Schizosaccharomyces pombe: one gene and its partners. The gene in region 4 interacts genetically with the main gene of each other region. Each region holds a gene or a part of one and is shown on either strand. Other genes may lie near its edges. The genes, in order: his2, nem1, his3 and atg7.

Region 1 (4,429 bases), 480 kb from region 4:
TTCAAATTTCAAATTCATATCTGACATGGTCTGTTCCAACTTATTGATACGACTGGCATAATCTTGAATCCCTAAGGCCACTTGCTGCATAGACATGTTTATTTGATTCAAAGATTGTAGTACTATTAAGTCAGACTTCCAACCACTTGGGAAATTCTAAATCTCACTTACCTAGTTGAGAATTTTGTTGTTGGACTTCACTAATAGATCGTCCTAGTTGACCGATCGTTTGATTAACTACCTCTTGTTTGGTATTCATTTCAGCCAAACAACTAGCAATTTGATTGCTCTGTGACTTTTGATGCTGTTGCATATCTTCGGCTTGCATTGCCAACTTGCGAGACCATAATTGAGCAGCTGAAACTGAATAACTCATTATTTAATGATCGTTTCCGTTAAAATTCCCGTAACGCTTAATTGCAGGTTTGGTTAAAGGGAATGTTCGTTTTCACTAGAAAAAAGTCGAGACACGCGACGCGACACCAACTAACTTCAGGTTGAATTAATGGATAATTACTCAGTATATTGGATGCCCATTCATACTATTAAAATTAAATTGAAAAATATAAAATAAAATAAAATAAATCATAACCTAAAAATACTTTGTCAAATTTAGTACCAAACACAAATTTTATTTTAAGCCGAATCCTTAATTAGGTATACGTAAAAAGGAAACCCCTTTCAAAGTCTAACTCCCCGAACACGAACAGCATCGGCATGCGCAGTGAGACCCTCCAACTCAGCAAGACGAATAACAGTAGGGCCCAACCGCTGGATTCCTTCTTCAGTGAGCTCTTGGGTAGTGATATATTTTAAGAAGCTATCGGTACTAACGCCAGAATAAGAAGAGGCGTACCCGTATGTAGGAAGCGTATGGTTGGTACCAGACGCATAGTCACCCATACTTACAGGTGACCAAGGACCAACGAAAACGCTACCAGCATTATCTATTTTGGGAATGTATGAAGAAGCATTTTTTAAGTGCAAGACCAAGTGCTCAGGACCATACAAATTAGACCATTCAAAAGCTTGATCAACATTGTCAACCTGTACAATAACCGACTTCTTGATAGCATGTTTGATGATATACGAACGAGAAAGTCGTAAAGCGTGATCATTAATTGCTTTTTGAATACGGTCAAACATTTCGGGAGATAGAGAGACAGTCAGCAAAATGATCTGACTGTCCAAACCATGCTCTGCTTGAGACAATAAATCCAAGGCAACACTTTCAGGATTACAGGTCTCATCTGCTATTACCAAAACTTCTGAGGGACCAGCAGGAAGATCAATAGCAACTAAAGCCCCGTAATCATTCTGAACATGCATCTTTGCAGCTGTAACAAATTGATTTCCAGGGCCAAAAATTTTGTTAACTTTAGGAACACCGGATATTCCATATGCCATGGCCGCAATTGCTTGCGCCCCGCCTGCCAAAATAATAGCCTCAGCACCAATTTTATTTGCAATATATACAATTTCAGGCGCAACCGTACCATCCTTTCGGACTGGCGTAGAAATCACTACATGAGGACAGCCAGCTACCTTCGCCGGAACTCCAAGCATCAAAGCAGTAGATGGCAACACTGCAGTTCCTCCAGGGATATAAAGACCAACTCGGTTAATAGGACGAGACATCCGTTGACAGACTACACCACGCATGGTTTGAACAGCAATTGTAGGACGCAGCTGTGATGAATGGAAAGCAAAAATATTGTTAAAAGCAATATCAATATCCTCTTTAATCATTGGGGATATTTTCATTAAGTCGTCGTCAAACGGAGCCTTTAAGACAGCCGACTTCAATTGAACCTTTTCAAATTTGGAAGCATAATCTATTAGAGAAGCTTCTCCTCTTGATTTAACATCCTCGATTATCGGTTGGACAATCGTACGAATTTTTTGAGTGTTCTGAATGGGTCTTGCAAGTAATCGTGTACGTTCTTCGGCGGTTAATGCAGCAGCTCTATAAGAAGGCACCTGAATCTCGTATTCCGGCATTATTAAGTAAATTAAAGGTAGTCAAGTCTAAATCGACTCTCTAAAAATTTAATGCAATGTTGGCTAAGGAATGGCTGGATCGGTGAATACTCGATTTCCCTTACAGCAAAGATCTAAATTTGATATGTCTTCGGATAAACCGCGGTTGCAACTTTTTATCCGCGGTAATAGAATTAACAAAGATCGAGAGAAACAAAAAAAAATTTATTAAATAATCGTAGTTGTATTATTAAAATTAATCTAAAACGTTTCATCTTCATTGGCATTACAATCTTTAGTATAGTGAAGAATCCACGAAAGCACTTCTTTATGCCAACGTAGGGAATTATCAGGTTTAATGACCCAATGGTTTTCGTCTTCAAAGACTAGTAATCTGCTAGGAATTCCCTTGTACTGCAAAACATTGAATGCGGCTATTCCTTCACTTTCGGTAAGCCTGTAATCCTTTGAGCTATGAATTACAAGTTCAGGAGTGGCCCAATAATTCACAAAATTTGAAGGATTCCAGCGCTCATAGATAACTCTGTTTTCCCAAGGAGTACCCCCAAAATCGTGAATAGAAAAATAAAGTTCTTCAGTATTGTAAAAAGTATTGAGGGTATTAAATACCCCGTCATGACATACAAGTGCACGAAATTGACGACCTAAAGGGTGTCCTTGAATCCAATTAATCATGTAACCACCATAGGAAGCACCTAAGGCAACCATTTTTTCAGAATCAGCATAGGAAAGATGATTTTTTATGTACTCAACACCAAGTTCAATATCTTTATATGGCTTACCACCCCAATCAAGAGCAATGGAATCGGTAAAACGTTGTCCATAACCTGTAGATCCAGTAGGATCAAGAGCAAATACAATAAAACCAGCATTAGCAAAAACTGCAGGATTCCAGCGCGTTGACCAACTATCTGTCCAAGAACCTTGAGGTCCCCCGTGTATAAGCACTGCTACAGGATATTTTTTAGATTTATCAAAACTTTCGGGCTTTACAATCCATGCATGAATTCTGTGACCATGAGTGCCAGGAAACCAAATTTCTTCATAAGAAGTTGGCGATAATCCGACATTGTTCTCGAGTAAAACACTTTCGTTTAACGTTTCAACGTTAATCTTTGCGTAATAAGGGGGATTGATTAAAGATGACTTCGTAAGCCATAAGGAAGAAGATTTAGGGACACTAATAGAAGAAACAGAGTGTTCTTCTGTCATTGGGATAACTTGGTGGTGAAATATAGAAACAAAAAACAAAATTTGCTTCCCATAATTCTCAGCAATAGCAAAAAGACCTGGTTCGCCTCCTTTGAAAACCCCCCATTCAATGCTGGAAGGCGATCGGTCCCAATGACGAGCAATGTGCTTTTTAGCGCCTGACTCGGACTCATATACCATTATTTGATTTTGATCGCTTTCGTACTGTGGTGTTTGCATTTCAAGCCATGCAATATGATTTCCATCTTTGGCTAGTCTTGGTGAAGAGCATGCACCCTTCGCAGTGCTCAATGACTTCAGATTCCGAGTGTTCAGATTAATCTCGTAAACAACTGTCTTTGTTTGTGTTGCCGGATTTAATTTCGGGTCTTTTGCTACAAAGACAAGTTTGTCGTAGTTAGAATCAAAGTCAGAAAGACCTCCGAAGGGTTCGACAGGAGATTCCAAGCCAGTTTCCTTCAACAAATCAATAGCTTTTTCTGAGGAAATTTCAAAATAATTTGAGTTTTCCGTTTTTTTATCTAGCTCTATAAAATAAAGGGTATTCCTAGATCCTGTGTTCCATCTATCCCAGTGTCGAACAAACAAGTGATCGTATACGTGAACATTTGAAGGTCCCTTAACTAACGAATTATCCACTGAACTAAAAACGATTCTATAGTGGTTGTTCTTTTCTCCGATCCTTATATCAGATATTGAAGAGTTATGATTATATATGATACGCTCTGATCGATTGTTAACGTCAAAAAGAAGGATACTCGATGAGCTAGAATTATCTTCTCTTGCATATAAAAAAGCTGAATCAGTAATCCATGTGAGCGCTTTGTTTGATTTGCCGTGTACTAAAAGCTCTTGATGGTTTCTAGTGCTTTCATTCAAAAGGTAAATTCCAGAGTTATATTTGTGATCAGCAAAGGAATAATTCGATTCTATAAATATTCCAAGATTCCCTAAAGGATTGCTAACTACTGCTGACCTTCTAGGAGCTTCTAGCATGGATTCCGCATCAAATGCAGCCTTGTCAGCTGCAGTTAGCGTCATTACCAGGAAAAAAACTAGCTGCTTGAAAAGACTATGCATCCAAAAAAATATATTCTTTGACCAGAGTGAGGTGAATTCTAAGGAATTTGCATGAAGGGGAAAGGAAATTTATCTTGCAAAGATTACCAACCCATCTGACGAAGATATGATTATATATGATGACTTTATAAACTCC
Region 2 (4,908 bases), 740 kb from region 4:
TAATGAAAATGAGGGCATTAAGGATATTCCAGTAGCTGAAGATGATGATATTACTTTGAAATTTCGAGCCGCTAAATCTAAAATTAATACTAATATTAAAAATCTCGATGACTATGGTGAAGGCAACAGATTGGACGATGTTGATGCTGAAGACAAGATTGCTAGGAAACGCTCTTTAAAGTTTTATGCTAATCAAATTGACCAAAAGGCAGCTAAGCGTTCCAGAGCGGTACTGGAGTTATCAGGTGATTTGGACATGCCATACAAAGAACGAAGATTTGAACGCCAGCAGCGATTGATGAGAGAAGCTGCAGCCAGGGGTCGAAATCAGGATGCTGGTGCTGATCTTGATGATGAAGATCCGGAATCAATGGGCATACCTGCAAATGTCGATCGTGAAGTTGAAGATCAAGATGATTTGGATTATTACGAGTCTCTCGATAAAAAATCAAAGATGGCTAAAAAGCTCCGTAAAGAAAATCACGATCTCGAACGTGATTTAATAAGAGCTTCAAGGCACCCAGAACTAATTGAATTAGGTGAAGGTGATAAGCGTGGAATTACTTTAGACATTGCTAAAAATAGAGGATTAACTCCCCGTCGACCTAAAGAAAATAGAAATCCTCGACTTAAAAAGCGTATGCGCTACGAAAAAGCTAAGAAGAAATTAGCCAGCAAAAAGGCTATTTACAAGGGCGCACCACAGGGCGGCTATGCTGGTGAGCAGACTGGTATTAAAGCTGGTTTAGTTAAAAGTATTAAACTTCAATAGAAGTGGTGGTTGGTATTGATTCAACTATTAATTCTGCATATATTAGGTTTTTTGAATTTTCGTGTTATTAGATACATATAATAATAATGTGGTTTTGGGTTATGTTATTTGCTAGAACAATGTCGTTAGCCTAGTGATATGATTTTAAAATGCTAAAAGTCTATGTAATCTGGTTTATAATCATTAAATCATTTATAATCCTTTGCCCATCCTGATTAAGTAAGTTGATTGTAATAACAGATTGAAAAGTAAAAAAAAAAGAATCAACACTTAAATAGAATAAACATGTTTATTAAAAGCTTGATTTAGAAAGAAATTTCATAAGTAAGTTGCCTTCGTAATTGCTGCGAACATCAGTGCAGAAACTAATCTTTCTTAAAACATGCGTTTAGTTTATTAGAAAGAATTTCTTACGATTAGGCTTACATTAATTGACATATTATCAGCAAAAAGAAACAAAAATTATTTAACTGGAATGGCCCAAATGCGGTCTAGGAAATATCCAAAAGGTACCCTTTTGAGGTTATAACAAAGAAGTTTGATGATGAGAAAGGAAAGGCACCCAAGATGTTAATGCAGTAGAAAAAGTTATTTTAGACCATCGTTACTGGTGATAAATAACGAGTAAATTACTCACGAAAAAAAAAAGGAATCATGAAAAGCACTTATTTTGCGAGACGAAGCCCCAAAAGATCTCGCACATCATGAACATATTGCAGTGCATGAAGAAAAGAAAGTAAGTTTAGTAAATCAACGTCAGAGGGGTCGCTAATCCAACCTTCAATAGGTATGGCATTTTCTTTATGAGCATTGTAACTGGCTGGAGAATTATCAATTATCATGATCCGTGAAAGATGAATATTACAAATGGAAATATCTTTAACGAAAGAACTATCGACAAGTGCACAGTGTTGACGGTAGTATCGTTTAGCAAATATTTTTTTATCACGCTCCAAATAATCAATTATTGGATCAGCATATGGCTGGACAGATGCTGTGAACAAAATAAGGCGAAACCATTGACTCACATTTGATAAAAAGTAGTCAAGATGAGGCCTTTTGTGAATATAGTAAAGGATTGGATGTTCACCAGGCACATGTACTTCAATTGGCTGTCCAGAAGTCGTTCGACTACCACGAGACACGGAATGGATAAGTGTTTCATCCAAATCTAATACAAGGGTCTTTCTCGGTAACTTGCTATTCAACAAAGGCCTCGGTATTTTGTCCGCACACAGAGTAATGTTTCTAATACGGAGACGGGAAGAAGAAGGAGATTTAAGAGGATCATTAACTATCGTAAAGGAGGAAGGCAGCTTAGAAATATTGTCATTAGCAGGCGGGGAAAACTGAGTTGATTGAGGTTGATGCGAATGTCCTGAACGATTGGAATTTGCTTTTCCCATTAGGGAGACCTCTTTGGGTTTCATAGGAGAAACACACACATCTTCTTCTGAATTCAATGAATTTGAAAAAGAATTGAAAGAAATTTCTTCTTCTGCAATAGAGGGCTGAAAACGAACATGATTTCCATTAGAAGAACTGCTATAAGAATTAGAAGATCTATGTCGTTTGAAAGATGAATAGGCAGGATCCTGGTGAGAGGATGGGTAAGAATAAGAAGAATAAAACCTAGGACGGCGGACACTTGGCTGAGGGGGAAGCATCTCTCGGCGTTTATACGATAATAATACAGGAAAAAAGACAAACCGGCATAGACCCCAAAAAAAACTTGCAAGGGTAAACTCTTTCTCTTCATTCAAAAAGTGGTACAAAAATACACGAGCGGAATGAACGAAAAACGTATAAATTCGTTTCAGGAACACACGAATCCAGTAGACGACAACACGCATAATGTTGGCATGCTTCGGTTTTTCATTCCTTGTAGGAACTTCCTTTTCCGTCGGTTTTGATGACAAACTGCTAAGGCTGGACGCCGAATAAGACGATCTACGACGATTATAATGCCTCAAAGTAGCTGATGAAGCTCGCCCCCGAGCATTAGCAAGTTTTTCTTTGTCAGCTTCATCGTCGTCTAAAGGAGTGGCAAGGATTGCTTTATTAATTTCATCTGATAGCCTAGCAATCGAATTCATTACAATTATTTTCTCTCTGCTGCGATTGCAAAGAATTAAAAAATTCACCAAAAGAAGCGATGCATACAAAGTATACAACGACCAAGCAGAGTCCTTTTAGTAAAAAAGAGTAATTAATTAAATATGTGTTAGTTAGACCTAAAATATGTGGGAAAACAAAGCCAGAATCACACGGTGGTACGATGCACAATATATATAATGATGAACTACAACCCAAATAATAACATTTTCATAAGACGTAATGCTTAAGAAGATATATCAAAACTACCTTAAAGTAACAAATTTAAATGTAAACAATACGGTGTAAATATTTATTAAGTTCGTAAAATGAAAGTTCATTGCAGAAGCTTTCATTTTTTTTAACTAATAAACTTTACTTGTATGGGTTTCTGTGCAAGAAAAATTAATTTTCATTTTATTAAAAGTCTAAATATTTGTAGAAGCTAGCTTAATTGCCATTCTTTTAATCAACGTTTTGCTAGAATGTAAGTCGCCGAGCGGTCTTTTTAGGTTTCTTGACATTACTTGAAAGATGCTTTTAAGTCTAAATATATTTAATGGTACGTTAAAATGTATCAAGCTCCTTTAGACGTTGCATACAATAAATTACTTACAAATAACAGGCTGAACTAACTTATTGACTTTACAAAATTATAAACATATCGATAAAATTGGTTAAGCGGACACTAAAGAGAATTCAAAACACTTGCTAATCTGAATATTGCACTCTTCCTCAGGTATCAGCACCTCCTTACGTATTTTTTATGAAAAGGGAAAACTGGGCTAATGCAACATTCGTAAACCAATTTATCTATTGCTAAATCATTCCAAAATCGTAAGCGTTTGCATTTCATTGTAAAGGAGATTGTTTTGTTGCTGTGTTAATCTACATGTAATTGATAGCAGCTTAGAGACTTCGGAGAAGAACTCCTCTCCTACTTGAACACTGTCTTATGACTAATTTAAGTATTACTTTTAAACTTCATCTTTTTCTAGTAAAGAGAAATTCTCAGTTAACATAAATCAATAAATTGTTCAATTGAAAGCATGTAGTCGGTAGGAGTTATATTTTATATAATTATATAATGGTTTAAAGATAGCACTTTAAATATATTATAGTATAACAATAAAGTCAAGTTCTTAACTATAGGTGAAATTACTCCAGCATTGCTTCCTTGAAACACTGATTACTTGCTTTGTCGCTAGGTTGCTCTTGTATTGTCGTTAGATGTGTTTTTGTAAACACAATTCAATCTAATTTTATTTTTCTAATTATCTTCATGTCAACATGGCCTATTGATGCAATTAGTAAAAAACCTAGTGTAAGTTTGGATTATGGAATTATAGGGGCGTGTCAACTTTTAAATCCATCTGGCTATCACAGAGCGGAGAAGGTTGAAAATAATGAATGGACTTTTGCTAGGTATGACTCCTATACGGGCGTCGAGCTTGTTGACTTGGACAAAAGATGGGATATCTTATCTTTAAATCCAAACTACAAACTCCCTAAATTAACTGAGCTTCCTGCTGAGGCCACCAATTCCACGCGTAAAGCGACTAGTAGTTCATTTGGTTTAAGTGTTTGCAGATATGTTCCGCGAAATTTATTTTCTACACTAGCGAAAGAGTCTCAATTAGCTTCTTCTGCTGAGTCTATATATAATCCACATATTTTAAATACTTTTTGCTTGGGTAAAACAGCGCCATCAGATAAAAACAGATACACCACAACTGAATGTCTTGCTTGTAGCAAGATTAGCAATGAAACTGCGGAAAATCTCCTCTTTTTATGCCTCTCGTCTCCATGGATTTTTCGTGCATCTCCGACATTACAAAATACTGCAACTTTTGAAGAATTCCCATTTTACTTGAATGTATCGGCTTTTGAGTTTGCTGAGGATCCAATATGGAAATTCTCACAACCAGTGAGACAATTGGTTTTCTCTAATGGAGAACCAAGTTTGCTCTTCGCATTATCGTCTTGTGAGTTGGTTATATTCCAGGTAACTTATGATTTAATGTTCTTAGATGAGCCAAATA
Region 3 (4,420 bases), 1.1 Mb from region 4:
ATAAGGTATTTACGTTATAGTCAACGAAAGCTTTTAATTTCCGTCAACCGATTTGAAAGGAAGAAGGATATTCGACTTGCAATCGATGCTTTTAGTGCATTGCGCGATCTTTCTGCTAACCGATTTCCTGAATACTTGCTTTTAGTAGCCGGTGGCTACGATATTCGTGTTTCAGAAAATCGTCGATATTTAAAAGAATTGCAGGAATTTTGTGAACAAAAGGATCTTTCTTATACGACTGTAAAAGATAATTGGGATAACATAACTGTTGCTCCTTCTACCAATGTATTGTTTTTATTATCAGTTCCTTCAAAGGTTCGGGATGCTTTAATTTCTTCTTCTAGAATATTGCTCTACACTCCTGAAAATGAACATTTTGGTATTGTCCCTTTGGAAGCCATGCTTCGTAAAGTTCCAGTATTAGCCCAAACGAATGGTGGGCCCTTGGAAACGGTTATAGATGGAAAGAATGGTTGGCTTCGTCCTAGAGACGCGAAAATTTGGGGAAATGTTATATATGAAGCGACTACTAGTACTACATATGATACTGCTGCCATGGGTGAAGCAGGGAGTGAATGGGTGAAGAATGAATTTTCTACAGATGCAATGGCTCGAAAATTCGAATCGGAAATAATGTCTGGAATACGATCAATCACGCCCGAAAAAAGATTAATGAGACGCGTGAATGGACTGTTGGCTGTCTTTGTTCTATTTATGCTATTTTGGGGGACATGCATTATCGCTGCAACTGTTCCCTTCGCCATAATCAAATTGTATTTCGCTCAAACGTATTCAAGCGTAAAACTCGGATTTATGCTAGGAACTTGTATAGTTTCAGTGTCATTTCTAACTTTCACTGTCTATGCAAAGCTAACGAATCTTTAATTCTTTTATTACACGGGTTATAATCCTTTAAATTAGCGTAACTCCTTTACAAAATTAAAAATAACATCTTTTCATTGCTTATCGAACTATACGGAAACACACCAAAAAGGAAGAAAACGTATTTTAATAAAGAAAGAAGGAATGCAAGCGCAATTAGCGAACACAAAATATATTGGGTACATCAGAAAAGAAATGTGACGAGTCCGGAAGGGGAAAGGAAAGAGTTATAATTTGTCTAATTGAAACGTTCTAATAGGCCAGAAAAGGAAACCTCATTTTTTTGTATAGTATTCCTGCAATACAAGTTTAATAGTTTTTAGTAATATCGTATTCTCTTCTTCTGTGCCAACAGTGATACGCAATGCTCCTTCGCAAAGAGGCTCTGTACCTCTAAATCTAACAACGACTTTGTGCATCGTGGCCATTTGTAAATAAAGATATTTTGCGGCATCGTTACTAGGCTTACCTCCTTCTGGTCTATCTAAAACCTGAATGAGGATAAAATTTGCATCATAACCACCTATAATCTTGCCCATTCCTTTAATGGTAGTAAGCTCTTTGCAAAGACGAACTCTTTGCTGTATAATAGCATCTCTATATGTATGCATTTTATCAATCGACTGAGGGGATAAAGCATCCAAAGCTAAACGAGAGGTGGGTTCGCTAATGTTATAAGGAGCCTTTAATGAGTTCATAATGGTAGCAATAGGTTTACTTGTCAAACAAAATCCGATACTAAACATCATAGTTAGTAAAGAAATAATATTAATGCTTAAAAGCTTAGATTAACTTACCGAATTCCTGCTAGACCGAAAGATTTCGAAAGGGTTTGGCAAACAGCAAGGTTTGGATATTCATTGACAAGAGTTAAGGCAGACATATCGGGAGCAGAGAAATCAATATAGGCCTCATCGACGACAACGATTCCATTCCATGTAGGGTGCTCCAAAATCTTCTTAATATCCTCGAGTTTAAGAGCCTTAGCTGTTGGATTACCAGGGGAACAAGCAAAAAAGACTTTGATGGCACTATCTTTAGAAAGTGTTTCGCAAATAGCATCGACGTTCAAATTGAAATCTGGTTCAAGGAGAACCTTAACAACCTCAACATCGTTGATTTTTGCAGAGACCGTATACATTCCGTACGAAGGTGGACACATCAAAATCTTATCTTTTCCAGGAATACAAGAAATGCGAATTAAGGAGTCAATAATTTCATCGCTGCCAACACCCATGCAAATGTTATCTGGTGTTAGTGGCTTGGTAATGGAAAGCTCTTTGTTTCTCAAATCACATAATCTTTGCTTTACTTCGATCTGTCTAGGATCCGGATAACGATTGAATTCCACACCGTCCACGGAAATAACCGAACCATAAGCACATTCATTGGCATCAAGAAGGACACCTCTATTAAGATTAGCAAAAAATATATAGGCGAGAAAAGGGTAAAAAACAACAAAGGCCTGAAATCGCCAGCTCCAACAACAACAGTAAACAGGGAGTACTTCATTGCTTTCCAAGCAGCTAATAAAATATCTTTCTAGAAGTAGCCCTCATATCAATTATTACCCAAATATAAAGATAAAACATACTCAGAGAAGTCACTATATTCTATGTTAATATATATCACGCTTTCTAGTTTATCAAGTTATTACATACTCTCTCGCACAGCGATAAGGCTGAAGTTCTAAGATATTTTTACGAAGACAAGTATTCAAATCAAACATCGTATCTCTTTCGATGTGTTTTTGTTAAAGTAAGAAGAAAGCGATCGATGAGATTAATTAATAATTAACCTAAGATGCAGGTGATATCTATAAATATATAGTGTGTAGCAATGTGAGTCTTTAATTCATTACAACGTGTATCACCGTGTCATTATATCCAATAAATTCAGAAACCTGAAGAGGAAAGAGAAATAAAGCTCCATATGTCTTTCATTTCCAAATACAATTATAAGTGCAATAGTAAAGAAAACGTTGAAAGCTTGATAAAAATTTCGTTACTATACTAATGCTGTAAAGAAAATGCACCATTGTTTACAGTTCGCTGAAATTAAAACACATATTTACTAGACTTTTGCCGTCCGAGAAATAGATATTTGTTACTTAAATTCATAATTCATTACATTTTATGAGGTTGTTTCAATTGCTACATGCTTTTTATCTAGCTATTTTATTTTCACTATACAGGCTGCATAGATGAGGCAGTTCAATCCAGTCTTATTCACAATCTATTTCATTACCTAGGATAACCATTTTGGATTCATAACTTTTTGGCCTACGATTTATGTAAAAGTTAAATAAATTAAATTGTCGCAGCGCTTTTGCTTTATTTTATTCAAAGAAAATGCGAATACTATTGCTCAACCTTTTTTAATTAAATATTGTTTAAATCCTTTAAACAAAACGATCGGAAAATCTAGCCAGTGTTCCAAGATGAAGATGCAAGTTTCTACTCGAGAATGGATCCTTACATTAAGGCTGGTGCTTTCCAACCCTTACTACACATAAGGTACTTATATTCGTAACGCATTCATCCAAACGTGTAGCTCTTTTAGATTCTATTAGTTTCTTTTTTTTAGAAGATAGTTGTGAATGATTTTTTTACGCGTTTTCACTAAGAATTGTTTTGCTGTACAACCTGACTTGAAAGCTTAAAGATCTTGAAGACATGGATAGTATAGGGGATAATGTAACGGAAATGGATGCTTTTGTTCGAGATCTTACTATGAAACCGTATGCAGAACTGGAGAAACGAAAAGCCGAATTGCATGCTCAAAAATTAAAATTGGTGCAAAAACGCCAGCAACTGTTACGAGACAATTACAATGTATTAGTCGATTATGCTAGGAATCAAGATGCCTTTTATCAACTTCTCGAGAACAGTAGACACGATTTTAAAGAGCTTGTTTTACATACAAATCAGCTATATGAACCTGTCAAGAGAAGCCAAAACTTTCTAACTTCAATTTCAGAGCATTACAGAGATGCAAAACTAATGCATCAAGTTCAGCCGCAATTAAGTAGTATACTGGAATTACCAGAGTTGATGAACGCTTGTATCGAAAGGAATTACTTTTCCGAAACGTTGGAATTTCAAGCACTTGCGTATCGATTAAAAGATCGATTTGGTACAAACTCTATCATTCAAGAACTAATTACTCAAGTTGAAACGCTGGTGGTTAAACTTACTGAGAAACTTATTTTACAGCTACAGAAGCCATTAAAGCTTTACTCATTAATCAAAGTAGTGACCTATCTCCGGGTAACTGCAAAACTGTCCGAAGCCCAATTGAAATACGTTTTTCTTTATTTTTCATGGAAACAACTACAAACAAGCCTTCGAAATTTAGTGCCATTGCTTGACTACAATAATCCTGAGTTGTACTTACGGAGATATATACAGGTCATTCGTGATCGCGCATTTTCTCTCCTTTTTCAATATCAAAGTGTATTCGGTGAGTCATCAAATGATCGTTTAAACGCTGCAGGTACAGTAGATATACCTAATTCCACCAGCACTTCAGCGTCACC
Region 4 (5,096 bases):
GAGAGAAAGAGTTTACTTGTTTCTCCTCGTGTTTCGTCCCCAAAACTTTTTTCCCCTTCGAAACAGGCAATTATGGGTACTCGACAACCAAATGCAACTTCAGGATCCCCCTTGAGCGTTACCCCTTTTCTTCAAAAAACTTCTACTTCTATAGGGCTATCTTCTAGTCCGCCTCAATCATCGCCATCAGCTCAGTCCTCACAGCCTTTTTCGCGTGACAAGTATCCCCACTCCATGACCGTAAGCCCATCCAATGCTCGTTATCTTAAAAAACACTTAGACGATACCATCCCTTCAAATGTAAGTGATATTAATCATAATGATCACTTAAAAATACCACAATCCCCATCATCATTGAGTCCTTCTAAGATTCCAATCAGAAAAAAAAGAAAGTTGAAGGATACTGTTTCTAACTGTGAATTTACAGAAGAAGATAGCGAATCTAGCTTTCTATTAGAGACAATACAACCTACTAAAAGTACATTACGACGCTCAATAAGTCCGTTAAAAAAAAGAAATGATGAGATAAATGAATTGAAGAAAGGATTTACAATGAAAAAATAAATTAAATAGATTTTGTCTAACACTTCATAGATTTTTCAATTATCGATTTTTCCAAACATAGTTTAATTCATTAGTATACTGGTCCATAACACACGCCATTAAAGAATCACACTTTCTTTATCACTAATCCATTCTTCCATTGTGCCAGCAATTTCACCTAATGCTTGTACTTCTCTTAATCCACATAATTCTTCAACATAGTCCGGTTCATTAATGGCTCGTAAAACAAACATCCATTTCTCTCTGTTCCATTCATTTATAATACATTCACTGCAAGCTGAACACTGAGGATAAGCCATCCCTGAAATTTTCATTAGGCTAAAATTATGCAAGAACCCTCGAATTTGATGGGGAAGTTCACCTAACACAGTTTGATCTTCATTTAAGACAGGTGCAGCATGTCTAAAATTGATAATTAATAATTCTAAAAAAAATTTCCGTACCCATTGGGGTGCTGCAGCAAGCTAACAAATAACTCTACTGCTATTGCTGTAGCAATGTTAGCACATCCTGATCGTGTTACTGTGCAGGTCTGATCAAGTGTACGGTCAACTAGTGAGTTTGAAGGCGCAAATATGTCATTACAAAAATAACAACCTAAGCGATTCTCTTTTTGTAAAACACTACCATGTCTCATGACCAGCCAGCTGTCAAATCCTAATGCTGAATTGATCAACAACTTGTCCATGGCAGTTGATATGACTGTCGGAAGCCAACGTGATTCCCTTGTATCGGTCAACAAGAATATCGCATCGTGAGTGGAAATAAGGTTCTCAAGAGTTTCGTAATCATGCATAGTTTTCTCAATGCCAGCTTCATATATAGGGTGTCCAAGCATTGGTATGCTGATGTTATATCCCGTTGAAAACTTCTTTGTTAGCTTGCATTCATAATAATTTTTTGTACCATATTCGGGTATATCTCCTTAAGCCGTTGCGCCGCACACTCTGCCTTTGGCAACTTTCGTTTGCAATCTTCAAATGTAAACAATGACTGGCGGACAGGATTTGAGTAGGAGACAGTAGAGTAATCCACAAATGTAACATGTCTCACCCCCCACGACTAGAACGTTAGCAATTTGGTCGTTTGCTTCATATAAATATTTTATTTCAATTTCATTACCAGCAAATTCCTTGCCACTCCACAACCCAGAGTACCGGCCCCCAGAAGTAAACATTTTGAGTTTTGAATACGATCGAGATCTAATTGCGGCACTAGTCTCCATCTCATCAAGCTTAGGTTTAACGTTGAAGCAGATTCAGACAATACAAAAGGATCAAGGACCGTAGACAAATTAACGACCCGGGGACCTAAAACGCCTTTTCCATTTCTTTCCCATCCAACGATTGAAAGGGGTGCTTCAAGAATCATATCCTTATCTGCTTCAACTTTTATTAGTATGCTTTTCGACAGCGTATCAGAATTAATCCCATCGCGATATAGAAATAAATTAATCACTTTCAATTTAAACTTAATAAATGCAAAAGCGAGGATATTCCTGACTGGCCAAGATGGATATTCTGCCAATTGAACAGAATCTTCTGCAACGAGATAAAACTACGTGTTAGTTGGATTAAAAATCGATGGCATACCTGAAGCGACTTGTCCACACAGTGGGAAAGCTCCTTCAGAGGTGCAATAGTCCATTCATCTAATGTTGATTTTATTAATAAGAAAAAAGGGCGTTGATAGTAATCAGCTGTAGACAAGAATTCACGAATTTGAGATAAAATTGGACCTGAAGGTATTAGCGATTCAGCTGGTGATAAGTCTTTTACAATCCAGTGAGGAGTTTCTTTAAACGAAGGAAATAAGCACCAATAATGGTATTTGTAAGCTTTTATGTCGGCGTAAGAAAATATAAGAAATCTAAGTAATTCATTAGGCCTTTCAGAAACAACTCCGTTTTTAATTGAATTTAATAACTATACATAATGTTAATGAGCTTTTGTATCAATCTACTTACAACTTCACCAATTTCCTCTCGAATTTTTTTCACGTCAGCGTTAGTAAATTCTTGAGGAGTATTGGCATTTAACAGTGTACCCTCGGCTAAACAGTCTTTGATATTACTAGGGACAGATTAGATGAAGCATTATTGTACACTCATTACCTGTTTGATGGCGCTTCTCCAAATACAATTGATATATTTCCTCTTGAATATGTATTAAATTTACCATGAATAGTTAAAGGTGACGCGTCTAATTTTTGCTTTTCGACTTTGTAATTGCTCAATTGATGCCAAAACGTAGCATCAATGGAGGAATGGAATGACTGAAACTGCAATGCCTTTCCAACAAACATTTCTGAACGTTGCTACAACGTTAGTTTGCTACACAGTTACTATATACTGCTGGGTATACACAGTAAGTAGTGTAGTAAATTATAGATGTCATTACATGTTGAAGCCGTGAACTGTTTATCACTGTGCTTTAAATTTCGTTAAATTAGAAATTATTTAGGGCAAGTCCAATTTACACCTGCGTTATTACAGAATATATTGAATATTGCAAATATGCTATAATTACATTGGTGTCAGCAATACTACACTACGTTGCGTATCACTATATGTCACATGTTCTAATTATATATCGTACCATGTATGATACGATATGGAGATTGATCTTAATGATAATCTATTAAGATCAATATTATCTGAATACTATAAATAGAGCTACTGCTGAACCTCGTTCCTCAGTTCAGTTATGAGCTATATTAGTGATAGGTAACATTATAACCCAGTTAATACAATACCTATACTCAGTTGCTACTTATACAACCTGTGTATTGTAATATAATAGATCACAAGGAAAACTCACCGCAGTTCTACGTATCCTTAAATCAGATACCAAACTGCGTAGCTTACAATTGGGTTTCAGATATATTTTCAAATAAAATGAATGTCAGCTCTCTTATGTATTTAGGGTCAAATTTACATATTTTGAAACTCTTGACCGTGGAGACGATATAGCATTTAATTGGAATGGTGCGTGGATACTTACAATCAAAACTACTCTTTCAAAATTTAAAATACGAAATTCGTTCACAGAAGGTAACTCAAAATGCTATTAAGGATATTTTTTATTTATTTCAAATATTCGGGGAGTGATGACTGTAAAACGACTTTTGCGTCAAAGGAGTTTTTAAAGCCAAACTGAATGGTTGGTCTATTTTGTAAAGAAAGACTTAAATCCGGGTCTCTTTGATAATGTAATGTTAAAAAAATTTAGTTGTTGTATGCTACCAAATTCTGCTCAACCCAAAATTCAATAAGACGCTCCGATGATTGCTATTAAAAAAAAAAAAATGATATAAATTAATGTCAATCTAGCCTTTCAAAAAGATAGACATATCCGGTAGTTTTTGCTTCTTCCAAGGAGGCAACTTGAAGCACCTTTTCATCATTAAACAAAACCCATTGCTGCTTTCCATCTATCTCTTTGCGTATAAATGCTACATAATGACCGGCATGCGCACTTGAGCCCTTATGGCTTATTATGGCCTTTAAATTGTAGTTGACTGGAACGTTTGTCGATTCCCAACTACCCATATTTTCATTTTTTATTGAAGAATCTGATCCTTCAAGTGGTGGTTCTTCAAAACTTTCATCCGGATGATTTAAAATCCAATCAACTGCGCGCTCAATATTATTGTTAGATTCAAGCAATCCTTTTCGTGCTTGTGCAACAGTAAAGCCGAATTCACATAATGATTGAACATTTTCTTCTGAAACACTTGAGTCTGCTTTGGGCAGTAATTCAGAAACTTCAATAGGTTTGTCAATTTCAGGGTCCTCCATATGTTCAAATAGCCAGTTCATGGCAGTTTCAGTATCAGAATTTCCAGTAGCGAGTAATGCTCGTTGGCATCTGACTAAAGGAAATCCCATAGCTTGAAGCTGTTCAATAGCACTTTGGTTCCATTCAATGGTCTCTGTCTTTTCAGGAAGATAATCTTCGTCATTTGGGTGGTCCTTAGCCATTAAGCGATCGAAATTATAAATTCCGTCTTCATTAACTATTATAGGGATGCTTAATTTCTTAACTTGATATCCCTGTAAATCAAACCGGTTGGCTTGTAGGATCAAGACTTTCGGGAACGACTTCATGGCAGTAGTAGTTGTAGCTCCTAGTTTACTTTTACAAGCTTCACAAGTATACTCCATTTGGTCTGGTTGTATAGTTGCATCTAAACATTGGTCTATTGAGACTTCTTCATAAATTTGCTCACCCTCAATTTCACCAATTTTAACACGCGGAACTGTCAAAGTCAATCCCTGAGAAGAGAAAGAAGAATAGCGAACGCGTTTACAGGAAAGACAAGATAATTTTTGCTCCGTTTCAAAGTCAAAAATCTTAGTAATGTCAGTTTTCGCAATACTAGATTTCCGTATTTTCCCCAGCAAATACAATAAAAACTCATAAGCATCTTGCTGTTGAGAAGTTCCAAATTCAGAATGCCCTTGTCCCACAACATCTTTGAACATAAAAGGCCTCAAACCATCTTGGTAAGGAAGAATCGATGAAGAAGGA

Evidence for each region.
Region 1: of atg7 (region 4) and his2, changing one enhances a phenotype caused by changing the other (phenotypic enhancement), as found in Schizosaccharomyces pombe (one study listed by BioGRID).
Region 2: of atg7 (region 4) and nem1, changing one suppresses a phenotype caused by changing the other (phenotypic suppression), as found in Schizosaccharomyces pombe (one study listed by BioGRID).
Region 3: of atg7 (region 4) and his3, changing one enhances a phenotype caused by changing the other (phenotypic enhancement), as found in Schizosaccharomyces pombe (one study listed by BioGRID).

Annotation. Positions count from the first base shown.
Region 1 is NC_003423.3:2,157,489-2,161,917, reverse strand, and holds his2 (histidinol dehydrogenase His2), read right to left. Parts: upstream 2,074-4,429; 5' UTR 2,002-2,073; coding exon 682-2,001; 3' UTR 627-681; downstream 1-626. Other genes in the region: meiotic recombination protein Rec15, read right to left, coding at 1-122, 172-376; ppp16 (acylpeptide hydrolase), read right to left, coding at 2,242-4,293. UniProt on the Schizosaccharomyces pombe protein: Catalyzes the sequential NAD-dependent oxidations of L-histidinol to L-histidinaldehyde and then to L-histidine.
Region 2 is NC_003423.3:3,371,425-3,376,332, reverse strand, and holds nem1 (Nem1-Spo7 phosphatase complex catalytic subunit Nem1), read right to left. Parts: upstream 3,032-4,908; 5' UTR 2,869-3,031; coding exon 1,438-2,868; 3' UTR 781-1,437; downstream 1-780. Other genes in the region: U3 snoRNP-associated protein Utp3, read left to right, coding at 1-772; RNA polymerase I transcription factor subunit Rrn6, read left to right, coding at 4,149-4,908. UniProt on the Schizosaccharomyces pombe protein: Catalytic component of the nem1-spo7 complex which acts as a phosphatase and may be required for proper nuclear membrane morphology.
Region 3 is NC_003423.3:1,487,054-1,491,473, forward strand, and holds his3 (bifunctional histidinol-phosphate aminotransferase/imidazole acetol phosphate transaminase His3), read right to left. Parts: upstream 2,638-4,420; 5' UTR 2,612-2,637; coding exon 2,544-2,611; intron 2,489-2,543; coding exon 2,477-2,488; exon of another isoform or gene 2,292-2,476; coding exon 1,680-2,291; exon of another isoform or gene 1,621-1,679; coding exon 1,158-1,620; 3' UTR 983-1,157; downstream 1-982. Other genes in the region: mannosyltransferase complex subunit Alg2, read left to right, coding at 21-885; COG complex subunit Cog8, read left to right, coding at 3,558-4,420.
Region 4 is NC_003423.3:2,633,727-2,638,822, forward strand, and holds atg7 (E1 Atg8 and Atg12 E1 activating enzyme Atg7), read right to left. Parts: upstream 2,883-5,096; 5' UTR 2,869-2,882; coding exon 2,678-2,868; intron 2,637-2,677; coding exon 2,531-2,636; intron 2,490-2,530; coding exon 2,157-2,489; exon of another isoform or gene 2,122-2,156; coding exon 1,687-2,121; exon of another isoform or gene 1,627-1,686; coding exon 1,471-1,626; exon of another isoform or gene 1,433-1,470; coding exon 1,008-1,432; exon of another isoform or gene 967-1,007; coding exon 663-966; 3' UTR 565-662; downstream 1-564. Other genes in the region: microtubule-site clamp monopolin complex subunit Mde4, read left to right, coding at 1-564; ubiquitin hydrolase Ubp14, read right to left, coding at 3,887-5,096. UniProt on the Schizosaccharomyces pombe protein: E1-like activating enzyme involved in the 2 ubiquitin-like systems required for cytoplasm to vacuole transport (Cvt) and autophagy. Activates atg12 for its conjugation with atg5 and atg8 for its conjugation with phosphatidylethanolamine.